Linked DNA regions of Lytechinus pictus. The protein of the gene in region 2 purifies or fractionates together with the protein of the main gene of each other region. This does not show direct contact. Links are inferred from orthologs where the notes say so. Each region holds a gene or a part of one and is shown on either strand. Other genes may lie near its edges. The genes, in order: chromatin complexes subunit BAP18-like and HMG box-containing protein 4-like.

The links.
Region 1: the proteins of HMG box-containing protein 4-like (region 2) and chromatin complexes subunit BAP18-like purify together in Homo sapiens (affinity purification with mass spectrometry; 4 studies listed by BioGRID and IntAct, with this or other methods). This does not show direct contact. The link is inferred for Lytechinus pictus from reciprocal best matches to the Homo sapiens genes HMGXB4 and BACC1.

Annotation. Positions count from the first base shown.
Region 1 is NC_087260.1:10,834,674-10,852,183, forward strand, and holds the start of chromatin complexes subunit BAP18-like, read left to right. Parts: upstream 1-11,125; 5' UTR 11,126-11,245; coding exon 11,246-11,263; intron 11,264-14,033; coding exon 14,034-14,128; intron 14,129-14,511; coding exon 14,512-14,613; intron 14,614-15,718; coding exon 15,719-15,885; intron 15,886-17,389; coding exon 17,390-17,503; intron 17,504-17,510. Other genes in the region: mannose-P-dolichol utilization defect 1 protein-like, read right to left, coding at 2,897-3,145, 3,818-4,022, 4,440-4,572, 6,899-6,964, 7,944-8,043. UniProt on the Homo sapiens protein: Component of chromatin complexes such as the MLL1/MLL and NURF complexes.
Region 2 is NC_087255.1:16,421,517-16,438,461, reverse strand, and holds the start of HMG box-containing protein 4-like, read right to left. Parts: upstream 9,575-16,945; 5' UTR 9,411-9,574; intron 4,714-9,410; 5' UTR 4,634-4,713; coding exon 3,359-4,633; intron 2,229-3,358; coding exon 2,141-2,228; intron 941-2,140; coding exon 573-940; intron 1-572. UniProt on the Homo sapiens protein: Negatively regulates Wnt/beta-catenin signaling during development.

The DNA.
Region 1 (17,510 bases), on a different chromosome or scaffold from region 2:
CGGGCCCCAGGTGAGTGGTAGCAGACGATACATAGCAGCATGGGGGGGGGGGGAATCATTACCCCCCCCCCTCCCCCATGATATACTGCTCCTCTAAGTCTACATCCCTGCTCAATTGTTTGCACTAAACTAACCAGATTTAAAATTGTAATTAAAAACGTCAACATGTTACAAAGATCAAGTGAGAACAAATTGATACATAAAGTAAAAGAAATAGAAAATTCCACTCATCAATGAAAATATGATTTGTAGCTTTTGACATGTAAAAGAAAGTAACACAGCATCATTACAATGAATCAATACACCAAAGAACAAATCATAAAGCATTTGTCACAAGCATGATACGGACCCAAAATTAATATAATCAACAGTGTTTATAACAAGAACAGAAAATAAAAGCATTTTTACAACAAATCAAACAACCCCAAGAAATATCAAAACGAAGAGATGACAAATTTGCACAAGACAGAAAGCTCAATTCAACATTAAAGAGGAGCTTTGACGATTGAAAAAAAAAAATACACAGCAATATTAATGGTACATTAATAATTCATTAAACAATATGCAATATAGTATAAGAAAGGAACGATTATGTAAGACAAAAATATTCCTAAATGCAATCTCATCATCTTAATGCATACTAATGCAACCATCATAGATCTGTTGATCAAAATTTGGAATGCAATATGCAAAAGTCTATATAAAGTTTATAAAACTTTTTGGTAACAGTCACCTTTTTTAAAATGTTGCATATCCACTAAATGCAATCCAACTCCAATTTTTAAAACTTTTATTTAAATTAGGGTTTGAAAAAAGGTCAAATAGTTAACATAAAGGCTTGCTGTAAAAAGGTTTTAATTTTTTTCAAATTAAAAACAATTTGTTATCATTTCCCATGATTTACGGGATGCACGTCGTAAATCTTTTAAATAAAGGTTTGGCAATCGCCGAGCAAGACAGTGGGGTGATAAGTATATTCAAATTTAGTTCACTATAAATCTGCCACAAATCATTAATGGATTCATTCTTTGGCAACTCAAGTTGAAAGTGATTTCATATATTATAGTTTCTAAAAAAAACAAATACTTATAATCATTTTATTGAGAATATGCAATCTTCAGTATAAAAAATACTACCAAATTCTCCATGGCATCTTAAAAAAGAATAGCAGAACATACACATTGCTATTTACTGCATTAAAGTCTGATCTACTATGGGTGATTTCAAGTTTGGTGTTAACCAATGGCGTTTGTGTTGGGCTTATTTCTGCACCATCCAGAGCCCCAAAACCAAAATGTAGCTGGTGCTAGGACCGACATCATTAGGTGTTGAGCCAATAACAATGTCTTCAATATCATTTCTGTAAACCCACTTTGGTGTTGACCAAGATAGGGCAACCTAATTCACATACTCAATACTAGCACAGCACTAACACAACACTAACACAAAATTTGAAATTACCCACTCTATAAATATTAAGCATATTGGGAAATAATCCTATTGGTCAAGCACCATTCTCTTAAGTAGCCTTCCTGTCGCACGATTACCCTGGAGAAAGTTTTTAGGTAAAAAAATGGAAGTGGCCAATCTTTAGTTTTTGACAGGGTTACTTATGTGATTGACAATGCTTCAACTTTGAAGCAACAAATATTTATTGTGACCCCCCCCCCCTCCTCCCTGCCAGAAGAGATACCACTTGTTGGGAAAAACCTCTAGTTTAACATCTCTCTCTTGTCTAATCTCTGACACATAGCCTGTATCATGGAATGTGAAATTATAACTATGCATGTTAAATTCAATAACTATGTGCAACAAATACAAAATTTCTAAGTGCTGCATACTATTATCCCTGCTTAAGCAAGGCTACCCTGATAAGCCCAAGCATTCAAGGAATCTCCTCCTACCATGTACCCATTTACTACACCTGGGTGGAGAGTGGCAAATGTCGATTAAATGCCTTATTGAAGGACAGGAGTTCTGCAGTGGGATTTGAACCATGAACCTTGTGGTTCAAAGTCCAGAGACCTATCCATTGAGTTTTGGTTAGACAATACTGCTACAGCATACCTATTGTCCATTGTATTGAAAAAAGGTGATGATTTTACCCCCAAGAAAATGGCAGTATTTCCCATATAAATGTGTCATAACCGTGAAGAAAAATATTAAATTGGTATTGAACCAATAGCTAGAACATGGCTTTGTAACATAAATTTTAGTGATTAATCACAATGATGACTGTATTCAAACATGAAAAAAAAAACGATCAGAGTTTATGGAACCTTGTCAAAGTTAAAGCTCCTTTCTAAATTCCTTTGTGCTAAAAATTTCACAAAAACACCCTTTCTTAAGATTTGCTCTTTAAAAGTAATTTCCAAAGATTGGCAAGAACATACCTCTCATTTGCATAATTTGCAAATAGAAACGTTTCAAGTGTGCTTTGATATTATCATGTGAATTCACATGTTTATCAAGCAGAAGGATGTAACTCACCTGTTGGCCATTTTGGGATGTTGACACCAAAATTACATATTTTTGACAGTTTTGGGTGTATTCATTTGCCCCCCCCCCCCTCCCCCTCTTACCCCCCAACAAGCAGAAGGATGTAACTCACCCTTTTGCCATTTCGGGATTTTGACACCAAAATTACATATTTTGGACATTTTTGGGGTGTATTCATTTGTATCATTCTGCTTTTTTCAATTATTCTCTACTGAGGTATTCCTTGGTTGGCATCCCAAAACCAACTCAGCTCAAAGGCAATCAACAAACCTGCTATCCTTTCTATTGGAAAGTAGCGATGATCACGGCACCAAATAACAACTATTTTGCACATTTCAATGAGTATTTCCCTTTGCCCCTGTGGATTTTTTTTCTGCCTGTTGAGCTATCTAAGTAACTACTCTGCTTTCTTCGACTGTTGTCTGCTGAGGTATTCCTTGGTAGCGCCCCAATACCAGACCAGCTGGGAGGCTATCATGGCATTGCAGGACGACGCGACGATGTAGGTCCAGACCAGCATGGGGTCGTTGGTCTCCTGTATGCTGGTGAAGATTCGGGCCAGGCTACCGGCGGTCAGCATGAAGACGGTCACTGCCGAGAGCTGACCGGTGTGGCCGTTGCTGAAGTTTGTATAAGCCTGTATTAACTGTAGAAGAAAGGCAAAGGCACGAGAGGGAAAGGGTGATTGGTTAGCAGCATAATATACTGCTGCTGGGACCACTAAAAAAAGTAATCAAGGAGCCCAGTGCATTGTTATGTAGTCCTGGGACGAATACATTGACAGAAGATTGTTCAAACTAGACTAGCTCAAACAATCACGATTCCTGGATTATCAGAAATCCCCCCAAATTTACCAATTTTCCAGTGGTCACACATTGTGGGGGAGCTGACTCAGTCGAGTGTCCCAGTACAACGCATATGACATGCACATCAAAACAGCTGAATGATGCACGCTCGCCATCGCAGCCATCATTGGCTGAACACAAGAGTTTCATTGACACAATTTTTTGTGAACTGCTTGGAAGTTTCGCCGATATTGCATAGTGTGAACATCCCATGCTTGAGTGAACCCAAATTGCATGGTTTTGTTGTTACTTTTTGAAGCTCTTGCTGAGTTTTTTTCTCTGCAGTCAATCAAATACTTGTGTTGGTTATGGTTGATCATTTTTGACAAGATACACGTACATGTATATATCATTTGAAAGCTTAGGGTGTGCTTTTCCAAACTCAATAAAATTCTAAAAAGTAATTTCGAGCAAATATTGATGATTTTTCTGGGGGCTGGTCCATATAAATCATTTAGAAAAAGCTCACTTACCTTACTAACAATGACGACAGGCATGTTGGTGGCTTGTAGCATGGCGATGGTGCTCATGGGAGCCAGTCCCGACAGAAGGACGTACATGATACCAAGATATGAGAGCAAGAAGGACATAGCTCCGGCCTGGTTTCCATTATAAAACATGCACAAAAATCCTATAGTGACGGTCTGTACAGCTAGAAACAGGGCTTCACCCCATGCTCTGTGAAAGAGAGGAAAGTTCAATCAATACTTTGATATGTTTATTGATCAATAAATATAAAAATTATAATATTTCAATTTTAAATATGATAATTTTATGTATTTATATAAACAGGTCTTCTTGCAATAGTTCTTGGATTGCAAGATGATAATCATGAAAACGATAACCATTAGCAAAGTATGTACAGTATGTAGCCAGACAATAAAACAGGTCATTTGACAATAAGTAAATTGGATCATAATAATTTACAAAAAGGATAACAATTGAGTAGAAGAATAGTAATTGGTTGTTGTCTCACGATGGATCAAACAAAGGATAACAACATTCAATACAGACCTCTTGCTGCTATGCAGGTGAGACAATTTATAAAACAAGCCTTTCGGCAATCGGTAAATTGGATCTCAAGATAATACTTACGAAAAAGGATAACCATTTGCAAAGGAATATGCCCATGATGACGATATCGCTCCAAGCTCTAGTATAACAGAAATTACATTCAAGCCTTCTCCACTTTTAGAAGCCAAAATCTTACCAATCTGTGGTAGTTTCACTGTTGTAAGATAAAAAAAAATAATAATCCATAAATATCTACTACACTCAAAATCATACAATATTTACCAAATATTAAAGGGATGGTCCGGGCTAAAAATATTTATATCTAAATAAACAGTAAAATTCACAAAGAAAAATGGTGAAAAAATCATCAAAATCAGATAACAAATAACAAAGTAATTGAATTTTAAAGTTTAGCAATATTTTGTAAAAACAGTTAAGCACATCATCATGAATATTCATAAGGTGGGTTGATGATGTCATATCCTCACTTTCCTTTTTCTTATGTTATTACACGAAATCAGAATTGTTTAATTTTTCATACATGTGTACATGTAAATGATGTGTCTCCATTATGATGAAATAAGGTGCGGCAATAAATAACTTACGTGCTTAATCAGTTGTAAATTGTTTTAGTTCTTGGTAGAAAAATTTTGAATAAACCTAATTTCATCTAATAAAATACAAAAGAACAAGTTGGGATATGACAATCATCAGCCCACCTAATGAATATTCATACAGACATGCCTAGAACTGTTCCAGCGGAATAATGCAAATCTTTGAAATTCAATAACTTTGTCATTTGTTATCCGATTTGATCAAATTTTCAGCATTTTGCTCTGTGAATGTCTTTTTATTTATTGAGATATAAATATTTCCAGCCTGGACCATCCCTTTACAGACAAATTTGTTAAACAATCTTGTTATGATGAACTTTGAAGGTTTAGATGGTGGGACAGACAATGTGGGAGAAGTTCACCATGTCATTAGTCCTGAAACAGACTGTTTGGGATGGCTGAGTGATAGAGTTGAAAAAGGAAGGTGAGAAAGAGAAGTATCTTTTGTGATATAAGGTGTAGTCCATAGAAGGACTGTAAACCAGTTGAGATGTGATGACTTGGAACAGAAGAGTTGATGGGTTGAGAAGTCTTGGCAGTGGCGAGTAGATAACCTACATGTACATGTACTCATTGCCACTCATCTATTCATGTATAACTTATCGTCAACAAATACAGCGTCAAGTAAGAACTTCAAGCATCACTTCAAAGAAACACAATTTACAAATACAAAATTTTAATTTTGATCAATCCCAAACTGTACTAATACATTCAATATATTAGACATATGATGAGTTCCAAGAGATCTCTGTACATTTTCATGCATGATAAAGATGATTTCTTCCAAACACATATTTTCATCTCTGTACACTTTCATGCGTGAGATTATTTCTGCCAAATACATATATATATATTAAAGTAATGCTCCTGATCTACATGTACATACATAATTGCATATGCACCACAAAATGCCCCTTATAAAAAAAAACAAGAACAAACCCCAAGCAAGTAAAATACCATCATTTTTTACCAAACTTCCTGACATTAAATTTACCTACCCTGCCAGGCTTCATGCTGGTAGGTTAGATGAATGAAAAACATAATACTTTTACATAGTATGATTATTGAGGTTAGCATCTAAGGTATATAAACCCTAAGGGTAGGATATAATGTTAATTTTTTAGGGTCTATCTTTCTTTTCACATTGGGGCAATTTCTGAATTTGGGGAGTATTTGTTTTCATTTGATGGCTACTTGTTAGGGGGTGACAAACAAACAATCATGCAGCAAATCTTTATTCTGCCATAGTTGGAATATTGATTTTCTATAATCATGAATTTTGTTCATGATTGTTTGTGAGAGATCTTGGGGCAACTCTAGAAAGAATGGTGGCCCCAAAGCATAAATTTGGGGGGAATATTAGGGGCAATTTGGGCTGACACAAGGGCAAAGTCACCCGTTGCACTCGTGTATTTCCTCACTGCGAAGGTTATCAAATCTAACTAAAGTGGTCTGGATCGATTATTTAGCATGTTGAACTTCTTCTTCTTCATCTTGAGTTCTTAAATGGTAATCAGTCGCACTATACATAATATTATGAAATATTCTCAATTTCTGTTTATTTCAATCATACTTTTTTATATACAAGAGGGGAGGGGAAGGAGGGTGGGGGAATGGGCAAATAAACAAACAAGTTGTATTTGTGCTAAAATTGTCTGAGGACCCAATTGTTCATGAAAGATTCAATCAGGGTCCTAAGAAGATGACAGGGAAAAAAAGAGAACAGAAGAGATGGCATGAAAAGGGCATGAAATTGACCAACCTCTGATTTCCCACAAAATTCTGTAATCACTCAAAACAAATTATCCATTTACTATCCAGAGAAATCAAATCAAATCAAATATCTTTCAATTTTGTGTCAATTTTTGTTTTCATTTTAAATAAAAAAAAAAATAAAAAAAAAAAATGAAGACCCGATTTACTTACCCATAAGAGATCCAGCAATGATGCCTAATCCTAATACTTTGCTCAAGGCGATTTTTAGGCAGGGAACTGTAAAACATAAATAAACCACTAATTACACATCAAAATGACAATTTGGGGAATTCCAACTTCAACAGACCTTAAACTGCTCCAGTGTACAAATATTGGTGTCTTGATATTCCATTAATAGCAAAGTAGCCTACATTATTTTAAATCAATGTACTGTATAGTCTGAAATTTGAAAAATAATCTTTGAGTAACTACTGCTACATATACACTACACTGTCAGATATTGATAACTTTTGTAAAATAGGACCGAAGTAAAATAAAATGTTTCTTTCAAGGTTCTTATGGTGTCTTATTGTTCACAATTGGGCCTACAGAACAAGGAAAAAAATTGAAAATATCAAAGTAAGAAGGATATACAGCACACTTGCAAAAGATAATTTGAATCTGACAAGACCAAGGTTAAGAAATGTCTTCAGCTGTGATTGATATACTGTAGTGTAGATATGTACTTCGAATATGAAAAATTTAAAGTTTGCAAAGAGTAGACTTATTTATTCATTTTTTATAAATTTTCCATATTATTAAGTAGAAATGCTGTTTATTTTTTGTGCGAGTGCTTATCTAAATTCCAAACTAAAGTCTAAAGTACAACTTCTTCCCCCGTTTTCTTTGCTTACATAACTCAAGACTAAAGTACCAAAATCCAAATCTAAAACTTTGCTTTGTTAGAAAATTGGGCACTAATGCAGTTTCGCACCGGCCGACTCTTTGAGATAATTTCCGCACCAGTAATGCCGTTCCTGATGACGATATTCAGAGAAGTGGTGGGGCGGTGGGCATAATTGACCTTGAACATGTGCTTGAGATTGAGAGACTTGCTGTGACTCAGCCTGTGCGAAACTGCATTAGCGCCCCCCCAAAAAAAGAACTAACAGTAACAAACGTACAGATGGCGCAAATGCACCAGCAAAAATTAAAGTACGTGGGACCATGCTGGAGATAATGGAATGAATAATTGGGTAATTAACTTGAAACTCACCATCTAGGAAGTCGAAGTTTTCAAAGAATGTGATGTAACAATCTTCCGGGAGAAGAAGCATCACGAGCCACGGAAAGAGTCCGGTCCTTTCACCTTCCATCTTTAAATTTGTGTTTTCTAAGTTTTACTACACGACACGTACGAGTCAGTTTAGCTGTCAATCATGCAAGGTGCCTGGTGGTGGTGGGCGTGGCTCTGAAAATAACGGGGGGGGGGGGGGGGATGACTGGTAGTTTCTTAATTTTTCTCGTTTTACACATAGAGATATATACTATACATCTCTATGGTTTTACATAACTATACCAGGGACGTGAGAGGGAGACGTCCCTGATTATACAGGGGCCGCGGAACGGTTTTCAAAGGGGGGGGGGGGGGGGCTAACCATGCAAAAAATCATAATCATACATGGTCATTTTTACGTTTTTGTAGACAGTTTTGTGGTCAAGTCAATCTTGACATGCCATAATGATTGTGGGCATTAACGGGAAAGACAAGACAAGGTTTTTGAAAAAAGTGGGGAGGGGGGGGGGGGCTGAAGCTGAAGCACCCCCAATATTTTCCTTTGGGGTGCTGCGTGTATTATTCTCCATAGGTAGCACTCCCTGGAATTCTGGAAGGTGTGGAAAATTAGGAAGAAATGAAAAAAAAATGACCTACGTTTTATACAGAACCTACTTTTTTTTTTTTTTTTTTTTTTTTTTTTGGGGGGGGGGGGGGGGGGCCTTGTCAAATTTCTTGGGACCAAAATGACCTTCATTTTGTAGTCACCCCCCACTTTTTTTTGCTAGTCAATTTCCATTTTGTAGTGAAAACCTTTTTTTTGTTGCCTGTCAAATTTACATCAGCACTCCCAGTCAAAAAAAATCGTCCACAGGGCCCTGGTAATGAACTAATCAATTACTCCCCCCCCCCCCCGGTGCATCTCAGGCGGATAAGAGTTTTTTTATTATTTTTTTTAAGCGATTTGAAAGCGATACACCTAAATTGTTCGGACTCGAGTTAGTGCAGGGGCCGCGGAAGCGGGGGGGGGGGGGCTTCAGCCCCCACTTTTTCCCAAAACCGTGTAAATGACAATATGATTGTGATTTTTTGCATGCTCAGCCCCCCCCCCCCCACTTTGAAAACCGTTCCGCGGCCCCTGTTAAGTGGCCTATATGTACAGTATCCCTAGTTACCTCTCTAAGAATTATAACATAATTATGAATATATTACTTGAGTTTTCGTGCATTTCATTCCCGCGAACTGAACCCATTCCTAAAAATAAACCCTATTCTCCGAAAAACTCGGAACCGGCGCACGCCATTTAATTTACAGGGGAGGGAGGGTTGGATCCTATTATGAAGATTACATTTAAATGTCTTGTTTTCACGGATGATGTATGAAAATATTTTTTTGTGCTTCGCACTTTCATGAATCTATTTTGTATACATAATATCAGTGTTCTTAAGGCGGGAAAAGGCATATTGACATTGTCCCCTTTTCAGTGTGAAAATAAAAACAATATCAAAATCAGCTGAATCTCTACAAAATGATAGCCATGTTAATATATAGGACTATAATTTCATAGAGATTCAATAAGGGGGAGGGGCGTAGAAATATTTTCAGGCACAGTTTTCCAGATCGGCCGTTACAAAGCTCATTTGTGTTGTTTTGAGGCAGTAGTCCTTCCAAATACTAATTAACGGGCTTATTTTTACAAACAAGCTAAGGAAGATCTATATTAATTCATAAGACGAAAAAATGCGACCGCGAAGCCGTGATCTATTATGGGGTCAGGATGGATATCCAATAGACCAGTTCGTAGAACTTACTCATGGACAATTTGGTCAAATGACCTATCATTTCTTTCATTATGATAGGAAGATTTCAAAGCAAGATATTACGTAAGCTTGCCTTACATAGCAGGATGAAGAAATTGAATAGACCAGGTGACTAGAATAGCACACCAATGGACACTTTATGAAGGTATTTGTTGCATTCCTACTTTGAATGCATATCATATAGCACATGTTGCACAATGTACTTGGCAAACTGTGAAATACCATGCAGTCGTTCGTGGACGCATCGTTGTTTTTTGTGGATGTAAATGAAAACCACAATTCAAAAGAATATATGAATAATCAAGACATCAAAGTTGGTGCTTATCTCATTAGATTTTAAACCACCATGTCACATTAGTACAAATGACCTTCCTCTGATCATGCGTAGAATCTTTTGATCATGCACAGAAAGGAACTACGAACTGGCTCATTAAACAACATTACTGATGCGAGAGCAAATCGTGAGCTGAAATTTTGTGATATTCCGACCCCGCCAAAACTGGACATAAACACTTTTTTTGTAACCATGCGTGAATAGGAGGTATAGTCATGTCTATCTGCGAGCGCGCAAAGCGAATTCTGACCTAAAACTTGCACATTTCTAAGCACTTCTGGTAAACATGAACAGGATATGGGCATCTAACTATGCGTGAGCCGAAAAATTGATATTTTGACCTAAAATTTGGTTATTCTTATAAAAGCACTGTTTGTAATCATGAACAAGATGCGATCTAACCAAACAATTTATTCGATATTGCAAATACCAGAATTGAAAATATTTGATATACTGACATAAAAAGGAAATTTCCAAGGACTGTTCTGGAATTCATTAAGAGAATATGCCTATACCTATCATACAATGCGAGCGTGTAGCGCAAGCGGATTTTTTTTAAACATACATCCTGTTCATGGCCCGACGGGATGTAGTCTCTCGCTGAAACACAATTAATGAAAACTCGAATTCTGAGCAGAAGAATTTGTTCATATTGACTTCAAAACGGGATATTTTAATCTCCATATTCTTGAGAAGATTATTATTATCTCCCTCAACCGACAATGCTCCCGCGAAGCGCGAGCAAAATTTTTATCTTATTATCTATATGACCTGGAAGTTTGTCTAATTTTTTCACCATCCCTTATTTCATTCACTTTTATCGATAATCCTCTTTTACTCTCTCTCTCTCTTTAATCACTCATTCACACTCCTCTTTTCTCTTTTTTATTCCGCCGCCGATGGGAGGGGAGGGGGACCCCGACCCTTTGAATCCCCACCCTCAGAAATCCGTGCCCCCATCTGGATTCGCGCCTCTGCAGAAGTTGTCAGGATATTGGCCGCCAACTTCATCATAAATGAATATTCATGAGTCAATGACGTCACTAGCTGAGGACGGTGCGTCAACTCGATTCGAGTCGAACTAGAAAAGCAAAATAGTGAACTTACGAAACTATTTCACTCATATTTGAGGCTTTTCAGTAGGAAAGATGAGTTCAGCAGGGAAGGTAAGATATAATTTTCCCTACTTATTTGGTTATCAATTGAAAAGGTTACGATAGAGAGAGAAGAAAGGGCGATAATTACAGACCGAACTGTGTGGCGGAGACGCATTTTGCATTGTCTGTGTGTTTCTTATTGATAAAAAAGGGACGGCATATACGGTCACTCCAACGTAAATTGGTACGTGTGGGGCTGGATAGACAGTCTAGAAAAAGTATCACCAGAATTAGGATGTGTAAAGTTACAGTGCTGGACCAGGGCACTGGACTGGACAGCAGCAGAGGGCAGAGTGTGTTACTGTTACTGTTAGTCGAGATGTGGGCAAGAATATAATGATTAATGAGTAGGCCTAAAGAGTTACTTTAGACAGCTGGCACTGCCACTGCCACTGGCAGCAGCCGTCCGGCGTCTGTTTTGAGGGACAAGGAGTTTTTATAATTAAAGTTAAACAAACATTTTTTTTTTTTTTTTTCTCCTCGTACACTGTACACAGACGGCCCGCGATCGTGCAGCTGTCATTAACAATGCAAAATACCCCCTAATTTTTGTCTTTATTTCATAAAATTAGAAATATAGGAGTTAGGACCTATAATTAAAAAGAACTGACCAAAATAAAGATTATTAATCATTCCGTTTTGGCCTGAAATGCACCAAGACGGGAAAAAAACAAATTTAAAAGGAAAAAAAAAACAGTGACTTACTTCGGCTGTCGCGCAACTCCCATTTCCCTGGTTTATCCGAACTTAAAATACATAAACATATGGCCATTGATTGAGTCCCTGTACAGATCGAGTTAGAACTTCGGTCTCTGTAAAAGTGTAATTGGTGAGTGGACCCAGCGGAACAACCAATAACAGAGACCAAAGCTTTTTGTCTAGGCTTCCATTTGGAATAGCTCTATTTCCACTACTGTCTGGATGTTGTCAGAATCGTCTTCACTGTAGTCTAGAAAGATAGGTCCAACTGAATTAAACTATCAAAATTTGTGCATAGATGTGCCCGCTTAGCCCCAAATTTGTATGAATTTTGATCAAGAGCCGTAAAGCAAGGCTCCACATTAACTTTTTTTGGTGGTGGCCCATTCGGGCCACCAAAACCATCAAATAATTTTTTTTGGTGGCCCGATATTAAAGTTTGGTGGCCCGAAAAATATAAAGAAACACATTAAAAATTAATAAAACAAACTTCTGAAATATTAATTCTGCAGCCACTACCACTAAGTAACTTTCACTTTATCATCTTGTATGTAAACCTTGTTTGCTGTTTTTGCTAATTGGCTTGTGGTAAAATATAAATTGTTTCTATCGTTGTAAAAATTAGAACAATGCATAAAAGGGGGAAACAAATTAAAATAATTTTCATAAAGTATATTACAAAAAGAAAACAAAAATAATAAAAGAAATAAGTGAAATAAAACGAAAGAAAGAAAATGAAGAAAGGAAAAACAAAGAACAGGGAAAAAAAAGAAAAGAAAATTTAGAGAAAAAAAAGTGAAAGAAAAATGAATAAAACAATATTAATATAAACATGGGGAAAAGGGGAAAATTAAGAAGCCATTACGAATATTTTTTAACAGCTGTGGCAACAGTCTATTCTGACTGGAATATAATTAAAAGCCAAGCAAATAATTTCACTTACCTTCTGGAAATGGCACATTTCTATTTTTATATCCTTTAGTTTGTATTATTTTATTTTCAGTAGAAACATATTTTTTAATCAGGTATATTCAATAGGAAGGGGTATAAATGGTTTAACCAAGTGCTGTAAAAAAATGAAAGAAAAAAAATAAGAAGAAAACGGCAATAGTTATATCTGGAAAAAAAGTGTGAGAAAAGTCCTTCCCTATATTTGCCAAAATGTTGAAAAAATTCACATTTCATATCAATGAAATGCCTTCCCAAAGTATCTCAAGAGTGGTTTAAGAAGTCATTTATAAACAAGAAAGAAAGAAACTGTCTGTTTATTTTTGGCTAGAAAAGACACACCTTCGAAAGAAACCAAGTATCAACATACATACAAATGCACATGTGGGACTGTGATGTACATGCCTATGTGTTTTTATGTGTATTAATTCATTTGGAAATCGGTCTTTTGTAGTCAAAAGAGAGGTCATAATTCCTCTTCTTAATGCTTGCAAATAATCAGGGTACACCAAATTTTCGTAATATAGACTGTAGAATGTCATTTCATTGGTGTAAAATGTGACTTTGACTCAGATTTTCAAAGTTCTGTGGAAGATTTCTAAGGCAAGCAGCAACATTTTTTATCGCAGCTCCCAGAGTGTGAATAGGCTGAGCTAGATCTAGAGCACAGAGCTCTGTATGCAGTGGCTTCATGCAAAGCTCACGCCAGCCGGCCGTTGCGGCTGGCTGGATAATAGCTACTGTATGCTATAACTGTAGGCCTAATATGCAAACTGTGTGTGTGTATTTGTGTGTAGATCAACAAAAAGGGCGCATGACGAACTGGGTTGCAATTTGAACTGTAAAAAGTTGATAAATGCGTGCAAAATCGGGAGAAAAATTGCGCTACTTTTGAAAATTATTGGTTGCCCGATTCGGGCCACCAAAACTTAACATTTTATCAATAATGGTTGCCCGATGTGAATTTCTGGTGGCCCCGGGCCACCGGGCCACCGCTAATGTCGAGCCTTGCGTAAAGCCATGTAGTTAGAGATACCTTTGACGACTAAATAAAAAAAAACTGTTCTACTAAACAATTTGATGATGTTTTTCATGATATAAAAATCATTTTGTTTGAATGTTTTTTTTGCAGGTAGGGGAGATTTTCTCGGCGGCTGGTTCAGCGTTCACTCAGCTTGGTGAACTGACGATGCAGTTGTATCCTACTAGCGATCAAACCCCTGTCAGGTATGTGAGAAGGGGGGGGGCAGGGTGTATTTTTTTGTGTGTGTGGGATCTGCGAGTGTGTGTGTTTTCTCTATTTTCTGTATTATATTATTTTCTTTCAGTTCTCTCTTTGGAAAAATTAATGGATCAATCAAATCGATTTATGAATTAATGTTTATTAATTACAAGGTACTTATGAAGTCAGTTTATGTTTGTATTCACTGGAAGAAGCAATAAAAGAATAGGCCTACTTAAAGAAACCCATAACCCTACAAAACAAATTCAGCAGACTTTTATTTTTTTTTATCCATATATTTTAAGACCTGTATGTATCTGTATCTGTCAGGGCATATCATAGTTATCAATATTTATTATTTGTGTATCCTTTGAATTGAATTTGATAGTGGCAAGTGGACAGATGAGGAGGTTGAGATGCTGAAGAATGCTATCAAACAGTTTGGGGATGACCTTCACAAGATCAGTGAAACCATCAAGACAAGAACTGTGTAAGTATTACTTCATTTCATTTCAATTTCCATTTCATTTCCATTTCTATTTCATTTCGATTTACGTTTCTATTTCATTTCGATTTATGTTTTCATTTCATTTTCAATTCATTTTCATTTTTACATGTATTTCCATTTCTATTTTTATTTTATTTCCATTTCATTTTTAATTCATTTTCATTTTTACATGTATTTCCATTTTATTTCCATTTCTATTTCCATTTCAATTTCCATGTTTTCATTTTATTTCCATTTCATTTTCAATTCATTTTCCATTTTACATGTATTTCCATTTCATTTCCTTTCCCAATTTCATTTCCAATTCTATTTCCATTTCTATCTCCATTTCATTTCCAGTTCTATCATTCTATAAATCAATCAATGCAATGAGATTACCCTTTGGGTACAGTTAATGCAGAATCACTGAAAACATGATCAATAATCCCACAGCAGCACCCATATCCCTTTTGCAAGACATTTAGCTATATTTTCCACTTAGAATTCATGTGTATTTTATGGGTACCTGGTAAGGAAGGAATTCCTTGAATGCTCAAGCACCTGATCATAGCAGGGGTAAAAGTATACAGCAATTAGAAATTTCAAATTGCAGGTTATTAAATTTTGCATATTATCATCATCATCATTGTGACCATTATCATTATCATCATTATCACATCATTTTCACCAACATTCTAATGTCTTTACCATTATGACAGTTTTCATCACTATCACCATATCATCATCGGCATTATCACCATCATCATAAATATCTTCAACATCATCATCATCACCACTACCATCACCATTATCTCCATTTTCACCACCATCATCATAACCATTATCACAGTCATCGTCGTTACCATATCACCATCATTACCACCACGATCATTATCATCACCATCATCATCATCATCACCACCATCATCATCACCACCACCACCATTATCTCCATTTTCACTGCCATCATCATCATTACTATTATCACAGTCATCGTCGCCACCGTCATCATCATGATCGCCACCATCATCATCAGCCTTCACTGTCTTCACTCTGATCATCATCACCATTACCGGTATATTCTTTTCTTTTTCTTCCTCTGTTGTAGATCTCAGATCAGGGCAGCCATTAAGAGGAAATCCCTTGATGCCAACACGAGGAAGGAGAGAGTGGACAGGGGTCACGTAGAGCCGTCTACCGGCCTCACATTGATGGCCAGCCATGCTCCAGCACGCTCCTCGCCGACTACACCACCTGCTAAGAGGATAAAACATGGTAAATTAAAAAAAAAACTTGTTCGTTGGTAATCCCACCTGGTCTGCTGGAGACTTTGTTGGACTTTGATCAAACATTGATCTCTCGATCGCATAATGATATTTTTTGCTTAAGGTTAAATGTTTTAAGGTGGTTAGAGGTTAGCCTCAACAATTCGTGCAATATTTTCGCCGTGCAAAATTTTTTGACTGCGCCGCTCGCTGACTTTTTACTTTTAAGTCTTGCGCACCTTTTGAGACTAAATTTGCGAGGACTGGGTACGCGGTTCCGAAATTACGCAACATTTTGTAAGTGCATGTCAGACCAAAAATTGCTATAAAACATGATTTCGTGTACAAAGTCAATGCAAATTGGGTTTTCAACTCATAATCATAATTGTATGATTATTTTTAGTTTTGCTGGTCTAAATGGATTTATTTTATGCTGTTTATGATCTCAAAAGAGTCCCCGACAAAGTTCATTGAAAAAGCAATAAAAAACAAAAGGTCCAAGAAACAAAGAAATACATAAGAAATTGCAAAAAACAATATAATACATAAGACATTATTCTGATATCGCAATTTTTTTCATGTTCATTTGCTGAGAACACCACAAAGAGTTTCTACAATAAAAATTGGAACATTTGGAGCTTTATTTAGGAAATAAGAGGAAAAAGTATGATTTTGCATACTAATTACGCATAAATTAGCATAATTAATAGATAATGATTTGCATGAAATAAATTGATACAGGATTTTGTAGATTATGTTCCAGGCAAGCTGCGTGTCAATTTTCGGCGCGATCGTGCGATCGACGGCCGAGATCTCCTGGAAGGCCCCCCCCCCCCCCCCCCCCCCCCGGCCATATGATCTCCCAAAATACCCCGGCCTAGATAGGGTTAATTGAGGGAAATTGTCATAAACATTGTTTAGGGGGGAAAATTATCAAAACAGCATGCGAAAATACTTGAATAGGGTATAAATTTGATTAATGGATAAAACTTGTTTAGTGTGGATTTGTAAATTCTATAACGGAGTGCCCCCCCCCCCCCCCCTGAAAGTAGGCAGGGGGGTTGTAGACTGCTCATCTTTAAGTCACCCACAATTTATTAGTTCAACCGTTTATTAGTAGTATGGGGACTTCATTTTGTTAATTAAAGCAAACCGTTGATTTTTCAAATGAATTGCAATTTAGCATTATTAATTAGTTGGGGGATTTTCAGCCAATTTTTGTAGATTATGCCATCGGAAACAGGCATGCTGATTTTTGTCACATTTGCTTGGTCAACTGCTGAGATCTTAACCTTTAATCATCCCCCCCCCCCTCATTTTCATGGTCTAAATAATCCAGTCTTTTTAGGGTTGAATTTCCCTGCTACATATTGATATTACAAAATTGTTACTTTTTAGGTTTTGAATGACATGCATTGTTAAAGTCTTCACTTTTGCAACATATAGAGAAATTGATTTTGTGGTGTACCGTGGAGTTCAAATGCTAGACATGTTTATGGGTTTTTTTTGTCCAGAATCATCCGAGCCTGGGAACGATTCCCTGGTTGACATTGAAGGTCTTGAAGATGGTTCCTCGATATCACCGTCGAAGAGATTGGAATATGAAGGAATAGAGCCTGCCGCAGGAAGTAAGTC
Region 2 (16,945 bases):
GGTAGGGTTAGGGTTGCAATGTATGTTAGGTTTAGGGTAGAGTATTGTATTAAATCCGGGGTTGAAGTTAGTCATTTGATTAATGTGTGGAATTCATAGCGGAGCAATTGTCGCCGGAGCAAATGTCATGGAACCTGTAAGCTACTTGGCTGACAAAAAATGGTCTCACATGCCAATATTCTCAAGTTCAATTAAAATTTTTGCGATAGTATATTTCTGTCAAAATGTTGTTTACATTGTATGTTTCATATCTTTACTATGCCCTTTCCTGATGCTGTAATGGCGATTGTATCATCATCATCATCATCATCATCATCATCAACATCATCATCATTGTCATCATCGTCATCATCATCATCATCAACATCATCATTACCATTATTATTCCCAGATATTTTAGGGTTTGAACGTCAAATGAGCTGATATACTGATCCTGTATTGTAAGAGATTTGTGTCACATTTTGGTATCCATAATCACAAATTCATTAAGACCGAATGGCACTGAATTCAGAATATGAATTACCCCAGCTGAACTTCATTGTGTCAGGATAGAGAATAAATGAGCTACTCACCCTGTGAACCTGCAGCTTGCCTCCTACATCACTCAGTGACTGCCCGAGCAGCCTCAGGTGTGCTGCACAATCAATGGGACTCCACTTGGGCGGGGTAATCCTCACCGGAGTGTTGACCTTCTTCTTAGACACCATCTTCTTCTTCTTGGCACCGGCAACCTTCTTAATCTTGGCCCTGGACTTGTCCGGTGTTTTGAGGCGGAAGGGCGGAACATCCTGATGCGTCGTCGTCCCGCCCTTGCCCTTGGTGAGCCGCTTCACTGGGACCCTTGTGTTAACAGTGATCTCTCTCTTGCGCCAAACTTTCTTTTCCTCTTCGTCCAGCGTTTGCCAGAGAGCCCCCATGCGACGGCTAATGGTGGAAAAATCTACATTGCATACACGAATAGAGAATGAAAACGAAATACATCTTGAAATCTATTTAACCCTAAAATGGCCGGGGGGGTTGAATCAACCCCCCCCTCAACATTTTCTGCGATCATTCCGCCGCGCAAAATTTTTTGACCGCGCCACTCGCAGAGTTTATACTTTTAAGTCTCACGCATCTTTTGAGACCAAATTTACGATGCACGGGTACGCGATTCCGAAATTACGCAACATTTTGTAAGTGCATGTCAGACCAAAAATTGTTCCAAAACGTGATTTTGTGTACAAAGTCAATGCAAATTGAGTTTTCTCATCTTATTCATAAAGATATGATTATTTTTACTTTAAACAGCTGAAAGCAATTGATCTTTGCATAATTATGCTTCAAAAAGGTTGTGCAATAAATCTGGTGAAAAAAACAAAGAAAAACAAAAGGTTGAAAAACAGAGAAATACATAAGAAATTCATAAAACAATAAAATACATAGGAAATTGATTTCCAAACCGAAGTTTTTTTCAATTGCCATTGTGAAGAATGCTACAAAGAATATTTTAACCAAAAATTAGCATTCTAGGAGCTTTATTTAGTGAATTAGAGCAAAAAGAATGATTTATGCATAAATTAGCATAATTAATTCATATAAAATAAAATCTCATTATTTTGGAAAATTTTACCATACAGCCTTGTAGATTACATCGCACACTACCAGCATGCCAATTTTTGCGGCGCTCGCACAATCGGCGGCCAAGATCTCAGGGGGGGGGGGTTGAATCAACCCCCCCCCCCCCCCCCCCCCCCCCCCCCGGCCACAGAACAGCCAAAAAAGCCCGGCCTAGTTAGGTTTAAGAGTTTCAATTTTGCTGTTTTGGTCATTTTTTCTGTTCCACAAAATTTGGTGAGATTATCACATTCCAAATACTGATACTAAAATTACTAAAAAGGTGTTATAATAAAATACGATGCAGGTTTGTAATTGAACAACTTATTGGCCTTTCGTATTAATCATGCATAAGTATGAACTATGAAGTAAAATGTTAAATCATGACCAAGTGCAGTAAATGTATGCAATAAATTATTTTGTCAGTCAAACCATTTAGTTTAATACCTTGATGAGATGGAGAAAAAAATAGGGGAAAGAATATACTTCATACACTACTGAAATCCTCTTAACACATTTTCGGGGGAAAAAAATCTGTTCTTACCGAGTCCGGGGTTCTGTGAAACAAATGTTGATCTGTAGCTTCTGCACCATAACATGTATCCAGATAGTTTGGTTTTCCGCATAACATACTGTAAAATGAATAAAAGGATGTGTCACGCATCTGAATTACATGTACTTGTGGAATAATTGTACGACTTCCCACATCAGGGATGCCCCTTAGATCTGACAAAAAATCTGAAATTCACCTAGAATAACCTTTTCCTACAAGAAAATTTTTTCTAGAGCCGAAAATATGTTGACCAAGTCTAAAATCAGACTTCAGTCTGAAAAGTGCCATCCTTAACAAATGTCAATCAAAACAAGTATGTAACCAACATCACCCAACAGACTCAAAGCAAAAAAATACAAATAAATAATCTTGAATCATTATGTACACAAATGCTGTCTCCACGAGGATGTTGTCATCATACTTAAATATGATTGTGCTAACTAACAATAATATCGGCAAGAACGAAAAACTTCCAACGAAAATGATGCCCAGAAATATCAAACGAAACCTGAAGAATGTTTTTTTAGCACTCACAAAGTTTACCACTTTTAATTGATAACCTTCAAAGGAGCTCCATATAATTCCTAATAAGAAGATGTTGGACTTGAAGTACAGTGCATCCTGATAAATTAAAAGAGCAATCTACATGTACACCCTCAGAAAAATTTCTTAAATCAAGACACATCAAAGGAAATCTTTGTATAATGGGGCAGACGTAACAATGGTCATACAAAAGAATATTCCTTAAAGTCTACTAACTTTTGTCTCTTACATTTTTCCCTCCATAATCTGAGGAAATAAATTTCTTCTATAAAAGGTAATTTTTTATGGTGACAAGAACCACATTATACCAGGTAATAATTTTCCTTGTATCGCATCGTAATTTGCTCCACATTTTTGAAAGACTGCTATGCCTTAAGTATTTTGTATAGCATATTTTTACATAGGACTGTACACTACTTATACCTCGGTCACATTTGCTCTACGGTGGCCATACGGCGAGTCGAAACAGCCGTTTTAACATTTTTGTACTTGCTGAATATCGGTGGTTTGAATAAAAAAGGATAAAATGGCTGTTTTCGACTCGGCGTACGGCCGCCGTAGAGCAAATGTGACCAAGGTAGTAGTTGAGAGCTTTTTTCTTATGACCAAAAATGCTATTCAAATTTGTAAAGTAAAATTATTCTATTATTCTGAGTTACATCTCACCTTCACATTCCCATGTTCATCCCTCTCAAAAAGATTTGGTTTCTTCTTCTTTTTCTTCTTCTCCTTGAGCAGTTTCTTCTTCTTCTTTTTCTTCTTGATCCAACCTCCATCCTCTAGCTCCTTATCCTCATCCGGAGCCGTCATGTAACTTGGATAGATCGTCTCCATATCAGAACCAAACGCTGTAAGCTGGGAGATGAGGTCTTCGGCGCGGGACGACTGAAGCTCACCCTCATTCCTATAATCTTTCTTAGACTTGGATTTGATGCTTGATGAAAAGCTCTCCGCAGCCTGCTTCTCCAAGCTGTAATCTGGCACCGGCATTTGAGGCATCATCATCCTGTCCATCTCCTTGGACTTTGTCTTCTTGATGCTGCCATCGTATTCATCCTCAAGATCATACGTGCCTCCTAAGCTGTCTTCATCCTGGACTGACCTTGAGAAACTATCATCGCCTTCATCATCAGAGGAACCCCTGACATTCAGAAACCGATTACGATCTCCTTTGAACTTGAACATCTTCTTCTTCTTCTTGTCCTTTTCCTTTTTCTTCTTCTTGGGAAGTGAATCCCTCGACACGTCCGAAGCTTGTGGACTGGGAACGGGTTGTTCCTCTAATGTCTGCAGCTTTGCTTTCAGCTTTTTAGACTTTGCCGAGACTGGAGGGGTATCGCTGTAGCCACTATCAGATTCTACTTTGATGGATTTAATCTTGGACCGTTCAGCACTCTTTGGCACCTTTGTAAAAGGTGGCATCATAGGCTCTTCTTTGACTTTGGACTTGTCAACCTCCTTCTTTTTCTTTTTACTCGACTTTGTGTCTTCTACAGTCTGTTTTGTAGTTTGCTTTCGTTTCTTGCCAGGTGTTATCATATTTTGGTGAGTCACTGTTTCGCCATCAAGCGTAAGCACCTGATCCTCAAAAAACAACTTTGCTTTGATCTGCTTGCCCTTTTTCTTCCCCTTGGCAGTCCCTTTAGGAGAGAGCCTCTCATCTGTTGTATCGCTCCTTGGCGATGCGTCAACTTTTGTCTTCTTGGGTGATAAAATAAACTTCATCTTTAGTCCTCCATCTTCGCCCCAATCTCCGGTTGGTGACACACTTGTGGTAGGTATCGGTGAGACATCTTGTTTGCGCTTTTTTGCAGATTTCTTTCCGCTGGAGGACTTTTCTGGAGGAATTTTTGGCATAGGTTTAATCTTCAACTTTTGGATAGGAGGAGGACCTGGTTCAGGGGATAAAGACCTCTTCCGTTTCTTACTCTTGCTGGCCATGTTCCTGGTGCCAAGAGAACAGGCAGAGACTTGTCAGAAAAGAGGCACCTTCTTTCAAACTTCTTATATCCTGTCCACGTCTGTAAAGAAATACAGGAAATGCAGAAAATAAAAAAATAGTCCAGGGACACAGGAAGTTCGTTGAACCATGCATTAATTAAAAAATAACTCAAATAAATGGAGCAATTGTTATACAATGTCCTCCCTCTGAGCCAAATTTTCCTGATATGCTGACCTGAAAAAGGGTCATTTGCTGTAGGAATTCATGACAGAGATCTCTGTCACAGAAAATACGAGTTGATTTTCTTTCACTGTGACCTCCTTTTACTTTATATTTTCAATTATTTTATACCCCTGGGGCCCATTTCTCAACACCTGTACAAGTTAGTCATATCTTTATCCACCAACCACGGAGTTAATTTCAATCTTGCTAAACCTGTTTCACAAAAGGGTTCCTAACTAGAATACCTTGATATCGATACTATCGGTAAAAAGAGCAGACGAGACGTAGCCTTAGTAAAAAAATAGCATAATTTTCAAAAAGAAAAATTATGACAAAATTGCAAATATTGTGATGAATTGGGAAATACATCTTTTCAAAATAATAGCACAGGAAAAATTATACATCAAAAATACTTAGACCATGAAGACTGGAGCATTCAATTGCTGATGAAATTAAATTATGAATAATTTATTTCATGACTAGAAAATCACATTAGAGATTTATCCAAAACAAATACGAGTCCAGTTATGGATGGCCTGACATGGTGGAATCTTTATTGATTAAATTATTTTAGTATTTCAAAATGAATGGTTTTGTGGCGTTTTACCACCAGTTTTTGTAGTTTCTTTGTATTAAATTATCATTGAATGCACTTGTTTTGTGATGTAATTTCAACCTCTGTGATTGATTACTTAAGATTATCATTTTTAAATTTCTGGGCACTTTTGCATCTCATAGTCTACTCAAGTGATGCCACTATGTCATGAAGATAGAAGTTATGACAGGTTCGGAGGTGTCATAAATATTTAGTGAGGTTGTTGTACCTGATCTTGGCAAAGCAAAGAGGGCTTCGTGAAATGGTTAGCGGACAACGGTTTAGTCAAGAAGTCAGATGGTGTTGAGAAACAGGCCCCTGGTCTGGATTCTTTCCCTTCCTTTGTTTCCCCTAAAAAGGAGGTCTGTTTTTCTTTAATTTATTTTGCTGCTGCCAGCAACAGGCCCGATCCAAGGGGGGGGGGGGATGCAGCCCTTCCATATAATTTCCACCCCAAAGTCAAAGAAAAAAGAGCCAATAATATCCTCATTTAAGAGTGATGACCTAAATGTATCTTTTTTAATGCATTTCCTTCTCACCGACTGTGTCTGTGCTGGGATGTGCATTTCGTAACTTTAAAAAATTAACAAGTTTGACTTTGAAGTTGAATCATTAACTTTATAATATCATGCCGTCTTCATTGACATCGTCTTAACTTTTTTGTAGATCAAAAAATTCAAATGCACTTCCTTCATGTCCTTTGTGAATGATGACCATGATGACCTTTTCATTGGCTTACCCGATCCCCTCCATGGACCCGTACCTGGGGCGGTATTCTGAAAACGTTCTTATCTTTTTCTTATCTTGCTTTCCATCTTATGCTGAGCGCGTAAATTTATTACACGCGCATATAATACAAAATAAAGATAAGTGGTATTCTGAAAACGTTCTTATCGTATATCTTTCTTATCTTTCACGATATTTATGATAATATTTAAGATAGCTAGAGGGTTATCACATCTCACGATGTTCGTGTTCTTTCTTGCTCAAAATAGATGGCCACTGGTAATAACAAGTATTCTTTCCACCCTTTCTTTCATCCACCCTTTATTTTGTTTTTGACCTTTTTTCTATCCTTTTTTTCTTTATTTTTTTCACTTTTCTTCCTTTCGTTCATTCTTCATTTATATCTTTTGCTTTATTCTTTTGAATTTTTTTAATATCTCCCTTATTATTATTTTGCTTTGTTTCATTTATTCTTCATCTATCTTCCTTTTTTATTTTCCCTTTTCGTTTTTTTCTGTTCTTTTTTTCTTTACCAAGTCTTTATTTTTGCTTTTTTTCCCCCTTTTTCTGTTTCTTTTTTCCCCTTTTTCTTTCTTCCTTCACTCTATTTTTTGCAATTTTTTTTCTTCCTTTATTTTCTTTCTTTCATTCATTCTTTCGTCTTTATATTTGTTTTCCCCATTTTTTTCAATCATTTTCTTTTTTCCTTTTTCTTTCTTCCTTCCCTTAATTTTTAAATATTTTTGTTTCCTTATTTTTCTTTAATATCTTTTATTTTTTGGTTCATTTTTTTTTCTTTTTCGTTCATTTGTTAATTTTTTTCTGCTTTCTGTCACTTTCGTGTCTTTCTTTCTTCTTTTTTAAAATTAATTTTCGCTCATTCTTTTTTCGTTCGTTCGTTATTTACTCTTTCTTTACTTTCTTTCTTCTCTCCGTCTGTCTTCTATTAATTTCTTAAAATCTTTTTTTCTTTATTCTCTCCATTAATTTTTCTTTGTTTCTTTTTGTTTTTTGATTCATTCTTCATTATTCCTGCCTTTTTATTTTCCCTTTTTCGTTCTTTCTTTGAATCAACATTTCCTTCGATTTCTTTCTTTAGTCTTTATTTTTTGCTTTAATTTCTTTATTTCTCTCTCTCTATGTTTCATTTTCCTTTTTTATCTCTTCCTTCACCTTTTACATTTTTTTATTCCTTCTTTTTCTCTTTCTTTCTTTCACTCGTTTTCTCCGTTTTCTTTTTTCGGTTCTTTATTCCTTCATTTTATCCTTTTAATCTTTTTTTTTTCCTTTTTGGTTTTTTTCCTTTAAGTTTCTTTCTTTCATTTTCTTTCTTTAAATTTACCTTCATTTTTAATTGCTCACTTTATCATTGATAATAGTTCTATTTATCCTCCTTTTTATTTCATTTATTCATTCTTTTTCCTTTCTTTTATTTTTTAATTTTCATTTAATTTTTTTTTTCGTTTACTTTTTCATTATTTTCTGCTTTGTTCCTTTCATTTTTTTTTTTTCTGCTTCATTTTGACCATTTTCTGTCTCCTTTCTTACCTACTTACTTTTTTTTCCTGTTTTATTCTTTATAATTCGTACCTGCTTTATTCACTTTTTTCTTTCTTTTTTTTCTTTATTTTGTGCACGTGTCTCGAAATAATAATCAGTCATTGCGTATAAAATGCCTATTTCGCGCAATGCGCCAGAAACAGTGTACGCGCAGTGCCCACGATTGGTAATATCCTAAAAATGGGCGTGTTGAGTATAAGAAGGAGGCAGTCCTTACAGACATAGGCGGCAGAAGCGGGGGGGACACGTCCCCCCTAAATTTGAGGTGGGGGGGACGATCCCCCCTAAATTTGTACTTTGTAGTTGATAAACTTTTTCATTTTTTTTTCCTTGTCAATTTTGTTTCCTGCGTCCCCCGTAAAATTTTGATTGATTACCTTTTTTTTTTTTTTTTTGGCTTTTAATTTTTTTTATGGTCCCCCCCCCTAAATTTTTTGGCTTCCGCCGCCAATGTTTACAGAGATAAGAACGCGTTAAGAAGATTTTCAGAATACCTATTTGCAATGATTTTAGTAGACTGAAGGGGATGGGGCCCCGTACCTACAGCCAACGTATAGTGAACTAGCGTTTTATAGATCGCGATTTAAAACTGTTTTTTAAGCAAAATTGAAAGTTTCATGGTTTCCATTATCAGGGAAATATAAATAACTTAAGTAATTGCATACCTTGGGCCGGAGTTATTGAAAAAAATCCTCTGGATGATTGAGAAATCTGTCATCTAAGACATTTTCACCTGACCTGACGGTTTTTCTTGCAAGTTGCCATCTTGAATGACGTCATTATCGTTATTAACTTAATGTCTCGAATCGATATATCGCGATTATAACTAGTACTAGTACTAGTATAACTAGTATCGTTTATCTTCGGTTTCGTTCGCATATGGAGCAGATCGTATAATATCGAAAGCAATATCGATATCACATTCGTGATTGTTGACATTCGTTTGTAAATATTTTATAGTTTGGCTGCCATTTTGACCATTTTTATCGTGTTCAACCCAATTAAACATCGGTAAAGTATATTTTGCATGCCTTTTTCATCTATATCGTTTAAAGTATTTAAACATTGAAATATCAAGTTTTAAAAGTTTGTTGTTTATACATCCTTAGATTGTAAATTTGATGTGTAAAATTATTTACATCAAACTTTGGACTGTGAATTGACAAAAGGGAGGGAATGAGAACACATGCGAGCCCACACGTACACCCTACCGTCGGTAAATGGGGATTACAGTAAAATGTCAGAAATTGTTGAATAAATCCCCAGAAACGACGGTTATTCCCATTTCCTGTCTATGATTTTAGCGTCTTCTTATCTCAATGAATGAATGAGATAAGATAAAAGATAACAAAGATAAGAAATTAAGATTAAGAACGTTTTCAGAATACCACCGAGGAAACAACCCCGGCCCGAAGAACAACAAAATGTCAATATATCAATATCATCTAAGACAAGTAACGTTAATTTCTGAATTCTGTCAATCGCTCGCAAACACAGATCGCGATCGCTCTATGATCTATCTATAATCTAAGCTATCTCTTCACAACAAACACAAAGTCTCGCATATGGGACCAAGCAAACGCAAAGACACAAGAAATCCACTCATGCAATACAGCTCATTTGAACACCCTTGTAACTCATCTCTAACGGCGCACTCAACCTTTTTTTCTTACCTACACCTGTGATATCTGCATGTGGAGCTAAATGTCGCTAATGTGGAGAATTGACGAGGTCATTATGCTTGTTAAATTTTCTTGAGTTTCCAAATATCTGTCAGACTCAGTCAGAGTCAGAGAGAGTTTTTTTCGCAAGATCAAGAAGAACGAAGACTAGACGTAGACGCGAAAATCGGCGCGTTTAATGGGACGCCCTCTGTCGAGCATGCCGGCCAGGCAGCGCTGCTGCTGGGAAAAATCCAAGGAACTGTCAGATCCCACCCCCCCCCCCCAAAAAAAGAATAAAATAGAAATAGATAAATAAAATAACGAAATTAAAAAAATCGGACACTTTATGAAAGTGTAAATAACTTAATTTCATCTTAGCCATATAGTCCAGTCAATATAGGGTTTGACCATAGAGATGTATAATTAGTATACATCTCTATGGGTTTGACCCACCACTAATTGCAACACTGGATATTCCACTGAAATGCTTTCCAGGAAGGTCCCCTTAACAACATACTAAAAGTCCCCAAAAATCCAAGCTGTGGAAATTTGCATATTATGCAAATTAGCCATAAAAAGTTAGAAAAATAAGGAAAATAGTCCAAAAATTACAAATTAAGTGTAAAAAACATTTTTATTTGAGCAAAACTAAACTGTATTCAATGTTTTTAATCAAAAGTAGGCCTACAAACAAATCTACCTCATTTGCATAATATTCAAATAAGCATCTGTATATGGAAAAAATCGCAAGATATTGTGATTTTTCTCACATTGACTGCTTGGAAATGTCATTAATGTTCAAATTTACATGCTGCTATTACTTATATTAAGCTTAGTGTTTGTAGTGTAATTTGCATATTATGCAAATAAGTATCTAACATGCTATAAATACTCAAGAAAACGCACTGGTGATACATTCCTAAAAAATTGCAAGTTGATCATTAATTGAAATTGGAATATGGCAATGCCTTATATGAAATTTTCCTTAACACCATATTAAAAGTCCTAAAATAGACAAGCATAGGAAAATCACAAAAGTTGCATTTTATGCAAATTAGCCATAATAAGTTGCAAATAAGGAAAATAATCCAAATATTGGAAATCAAGTGCAGAAAACAAAATAAATTGATTGGAAGCTCATGATAAGTTTTACAAATTTATTTATTCTTTCAATTAAACAAAATCGTAAATAAATCTACCTCATTTGCATATATATGAGCATCCTTATATGGAAAAAAATCCAGAAATTTTTATTTTCAATATGATGTGATCACTAAGAATGCCCAATACATTACTAATCAGCTTCATATCTGAAGTGTGATTTACTTATTATGCAAATAAGCATCCGGCATGTTATAAATATTCAAGAAAACTCGTGATACTTTCCTCTAAAATTCCATGTAGATTATGTGTAACCATGATGACCATCCCTACACTTCTTGCTTGGTTGATATTGACTTTTTTTCGTGAGCAGTTACCCCCGGGGCAGTTACTCCACTCATATTGTGCAATGATGAGTCAGTTCTACACGGGTATCACTGCTTGAATGCTTCGTATTTCTACCCAAGTCTTGCTCTCCTCTTGACTTCAGGGGCGGATCCAGCCTTCGCCAATAGGGGGGGGGGGGGGGCCCGAATTTTTTTCAGCCATATTTTCCCCGATCGGCCGCTCGAACATGATTTTTTTTGTTTCTTTGAAGGGGTAGTCGTAATAGTTACTTCTTCGCTTTATCCTTATAAATCAACATAAATTTATATCATCAATTCCTATTTATATAATGCGAGCGCGAATCGCGAGCAATTTTTTTTTGTAATTTTATGTATTTTTTCCTAAAATTTGGAAATTCTAGGCAATGATTGTTATCCTGAAAAAGATGTGTATGCAACTATACTACTACAAACGCGAAGCGCGAGCAGAAATTTTTGATACACGTTTTTAACTGATCGAAAAGGTAGGCCTACCTACTGCTTGCAGTTAGCCATGAAGACGTTACAAATTTCAACAATCAAATAATGCGAGCGCCAGGCGCGAGCTGAAAATTTTTGACACTTTTACCTAAATAATGGTAATTTTTTGCACTATTTGTAACTTAAATAGAATAGATATATAACTTAACAATTGATACGAGCGCTAAGCGCGAGCCGACAATTTCGAGATTTAGACCTAACAACGAGACACTCTATTCATGTTTTGTAAATAATGAAAAGGATGAGTAATTGGGATCTTCCTTACATCAATGATGCGAGCGCGAGCAGAAAATTTTTAGATACGTTTTGAACTGATCGAAAAGTAAGGCCCTACCTGTTAAGGACTGCTTGCATTTGGCCATGAAGAAATTAAATATTTCAACAATCATATACTGCGAGCGCGAAGCGCGAGCTGAAATTTTTTGACATTTCTACACAAAGAATGGAACATTTTAATCAATATTTGTAATCGTAAATAGGATAGCTATAAAACTAAACAATTGATGCGAGCGCGAGCGGAAAAATTCGAGATTTAAACCTAAGAACGGGACACTCTATTCATGTTTTGTAAATCATGAAAAGGATGAGTAGTAGGGGATCTTCCTACAATAATAATGCGAGCTCAAAGCGCGAGCAGATGCACGTAACGTCGACAATAAGAAAATGAATGGACTTATCTTCCTCGATTTACGTCGAGCATTCGACACTGTGAACCATGAACTCCTTTTAGATAAATTAGAAATGTATGGTTGTAGTGCAAGTAGTCTTAAATGGTTTCACTCGTATCTTGCTCTTCGCAAACAATATGTTTCTGTAGAAAATAACAAGTCCACAATTAAAGATGTTAATATAGGTCTTCCCCAAGGGTCGGTACTTGGCCCACTAATGTTTGTTTTATTTATAAATGACCTACCAAAGAGTATTCCTAATGGATCTGTGTTCATGTATGCCGATGATACGACCATTTCTGTATCAGGTACATCTAAAAATGACATTGAAACACAGCTTAATGAAGTAATGAAGCAAACACATGAATGGTTAATTCGAAACAAGCTTATTCTCAATGTCGATAAGACTAAGACAATGCTACTTTGTTCACGTCAAAGAATCTGCACATTGCAAGATAAAAACTTAGATATTATTATAGACGGAAAATCCATAGCATGTGCAAATGAATAGAAATGTCATGGGGTCATTATTGACTCATACCTAGACTTTAGAAGTCATACAAACAAAGTTGCAAAAGATGTTAAGCAAAAGTTGGGTATTTTGAGGAGACTGAGATCTACCTTCTCCGCTGAGCAATTGTCACAGATTTACTGGGGGTATATAATGCCCCATAATCTCTATTGTTGTAATGTATGGACAGGCAGGGGCGTCGATCCATTTTTCAGATTGGGGGGGGGGGGCGAAATCATTAACGTTCCAAAGGCGCTCGATCGTACAAAACACCCACCCACACACACACACACACACGTACATATATATATATATATATTATATACACACACACACACACACACACACATATATATATATATATATATATATATATATATATATATATATATATATATATATATATGTATATATCTATATATATGTATGACTCATGAGACACAGACACGTATCTCACTACACAGATAGTACGAGTGCCGAGAGTGAGCTCAAATTTCTTTATATTCTGAGCTGAAAACTTGATATTCTAAGCATTTTTGGTACCAATGATTAAGATTTGTATCTAAAAGAGAATAGATGCGAGCGCGAAGCGCGAGCTGAAAATTTTGATATTTCGATCTGAAAAAATGACAGTTTACTGGACGTTTTTGATAAAGAACAAGCTATATATCCAAGAAAAGATTATTGCAAATTGAAGCAGTTCTTTTGAGGCTTAGAACTGAAAATGGGACATTTACATTCACCAATTTAATCATGAAAAGTATGGGTTTTTGCTACAGAAATGATGCGAGCGCGAAGCGCGAGCTGAAAATTTTTATATTCCAATCTGAAAAGCGGACATTTTGAGCACGATTTTAAATAAAGAACGAGTTGTGTATCTCAATTTCGCTTGCTGAACATTACAATCTTGTTTTTTTTTAATGCATATCCGGAATTTTATTGGGGGGGGCAAAATGATATGTTTGTCCCCCCCCCAATATTTTCATTGGTGGGGCGATCGCCCCCCCCCCTGCCCCCCCCCCCCCCAGGATCGACGCCTCTGTGGACAGGGAGAAGTGATGCCAATTACGATATCCTTAATCGCCTACATAAAAGGGCAGCATACTTAATTTCACACTTAACTTGGGAAACCCCGTCCAATGAAGTATTTAATAAATTATCTTGGCCAACATTGGACAAACTCTTTTGGAAATCTGCCTGCTGCACAATGTTTAAAATAATCCATGAACTTGCCCCACTTATACTTTCACGTATAATTGTATGTCTAGACACCGTACTAATGAGGAACTCTAGACGATCAAATAAAATGAATTTGAGACTCCCAAAATGTTCCACCTCTTTCTATCAAAATTATTTCCTTTATTCAGGTGCCACAAAGTGGAACAACCTTCCGGACGCTACGCGGCTAGAAAATCGACCAACTTCCTTTAAATTACTCCTAAAATAATATAATGCAATCACAGATAGGAATATGACATCACTTCTCATACTTACAGCCCATGTATTAGGTTTTATTATGAATGCATGATCATTTCCTCAATTTAGTTTTTATCCTATGCTATATATACATAAGAATAGATTATGCTTGATATGTCAAATATTACATAATATTCTTTGCTCCTGAACTCTCTCTCTGTATCTCCCCCTCTCTCCCTCACACATTTTTCTTCCCTCTCTCTCTCTCTCTCTGCCTCCCCCTCCCTCTCTGTTTGCCTCTGCCCCCTTTCTTTCTCTCTCTCTCTCTTTCTCCCTCTCTTACCATGTCCTTTTACTCATTCTGAATCTTATTTTGATGTGTATATATGTCTTCTTTACTTATGTTTACTTTATGTTATGAATTATATGTTTTTAGGTATTAATGCAGAGCCCTGTGGAAGACCAGCGATTTTTAATGAACGTTTTAATTGTATATATTGTGTAATTTTACATATTTGTTTGTATAAAGCTGAACAGGCTACTCTGGATAAAGATTTGAAATAAATAAAAAATAAATAAATAATTTAATCCTAAAATCTAGGCATTCTAAATACATCTTTTATCATGAAAATCAAAGCCAGCGCGAAGCGCGAGCATAAAATATTTGATATTCCGATCTAAAAAAGGGTTAATTTCAGCTCTATATTTTAAGCACTTTGTAGGAAAATTGTGGGTTTGATATGGATCGCACTTAATAAAGAGCTGATATTTTTTATTATTATTATTTTGAGTTTTGACATAGGACCGGGACATCCTTAGGACATGTCATCATATATTCCTCTTGCTAAGCGCGAGATGAAACAAAATGTACAATGTAATTATTAAATTGATATCTTATTTATTAATGCATAATGAGGGCGCGGAATTAATGCGAGTGCAAATTGCGAGCCGAAATTTTCGATTAACTGTCATGAAAAGGGGATTTTAAGTAGTTTGTTGTGTAATCGATACTGACACATACATAACTCGCCAATCAAAATGCGAGCGTGCAGCGCTATAGCTGATACGTGAAAAGGGATATTTTGAACACTTAATGGAATACACGAAAATAATAAGTACCTGATAATAAAATCAAAATTTGCGATCGCGCAGCGCGAGCAGAAAATGTTAATATGCAGACCATAGAACTGACATTTTTGCAGAGCACTTTATAAAAATAAATTTGTAAATCACACAAAATAATGAAAGTTCGATTTCCAAGGTGAAATATGTTTTGTATATTGACTTCCAAACTTGATATTTAAGCTCCATATTGAACAAGTTATGTAAATCACCTAACAGGCAATGCGAGCGCGAAGCACGAGCGAAAATTGTATATAGTGACATGAACGATTTTTTTATTTTCCAAGTCTTCCCCTCATTTTAATATTTTTTTCACTCGTCTTCCAATCCCATCATCTTGTCAGACTAACAACATGGCTTTAGGAAGCGAATAACATAATTATTTCCAGTATTTTTCCTTCAATATATAAATTATATTAGGATAAATTATCATGCTTAGTGAAAGCAGCATGTTAATTTGAACAACTGAAATGTTTTCACTGCAATCAATGTGAGAATTGTATTTGACATTTTCCACTTATTTGCACAATACGCTAATTAAGCAGATTTGCTAGCTTTTTAAAACTAAAAACACTGAACTTATTTATTCATCATGAACTTTCATTTAAATTAAATTGTTTTGGACACTTAATTTGTAATCTTTGGACTATTTCCCTTCTTTTTCTAACTTTCTATGGCTAATTTGCATAATATGCAAAGTTCATAAATTTCAACTGCTTGGATTTTTTGGGACTTTTAGTATGTTGTTTAGGGGACCTTCCTGGAAAGCATTTCAGTGGAAACATCCAGTGTTGCAATAAGTTGTGGGTTACCTCCCTTTTCTGGCTAGATTGACTGGACTAATAGATAAACCTGGGTTGAGTGCAGCACAATGTGGGTAACAATTATGCAGCACAATGTGGGTAAATTTCTTGCTGATTTTTTTTATACTTATGATTTTCATTATAGATCGAGCATGCGATCTTAAACATAAAGGAGTAATGCCAAAAATTTGTTTACAAATTATAATTTATAAGTTTGATCTTGCTTTCTGATTATTGTGCCTTTTTTTTTTTTGGGGGGGGGGGTTAAATCTAAAGATGAAGTTTTTGATGGGTCACTTCGCTTTCTCGTAGCCGTTTAGAAAATCTGCCCCTCTCGAAATATCTTGTCCCTAAAGATATTTGGCTCATTAATCCCACTTTTTAGCAGTTAGTTAATCGTTACTTCAATTTCAACTTCGGCAAGTAGAAGAAGTATCAGGCATCGTACAATTTCTTTTTAATAAGTTTGATTTAAATTTCGCACTCTCCCAGTGTCACTCTGAATGTTAAATATATATTTTTGGGTATATCGTTGTCAATGACATAATGCAGAATGTTCATCCTTGAATCACTCAGATATTATCGATCTATTTTCTTCGTAAAATGTAGTCTTTCTAATAATCAACACACTTAGATTGTCATTTGAAAGGGAAACCGCAAACAAAATGAAAACAAATGACACAGTTACAATTTGCCGGGGAGACCGGGCAGGAGGACGGCTTCATGACTTTGTGTTTCGTTGCAAGAGGGTAAAACCGTGAGCATTATAAAACGAATCCTATGCAATGCGTAAACAAGGAAAGCGAATGTCTGTGGAGAATTGATAAAGATGAAGACAGAAAAAAGAAAGTCTGTATTTTTGAATTGTGCCTCATTATTTGTTCAAGATCTCATCGCCCATCGATTAGTTGTGCCGTAAACTAATTCCAGATACTCCACAACGGGGTGCCAGAAATATACCTATTGTTCACTCCCCTTACATAATAGTTTTGTTCTGGAGAGGGGATTTGACCAATCGAATCTTCATTATGCAAGGATAATAGAAATGGGTGCAATC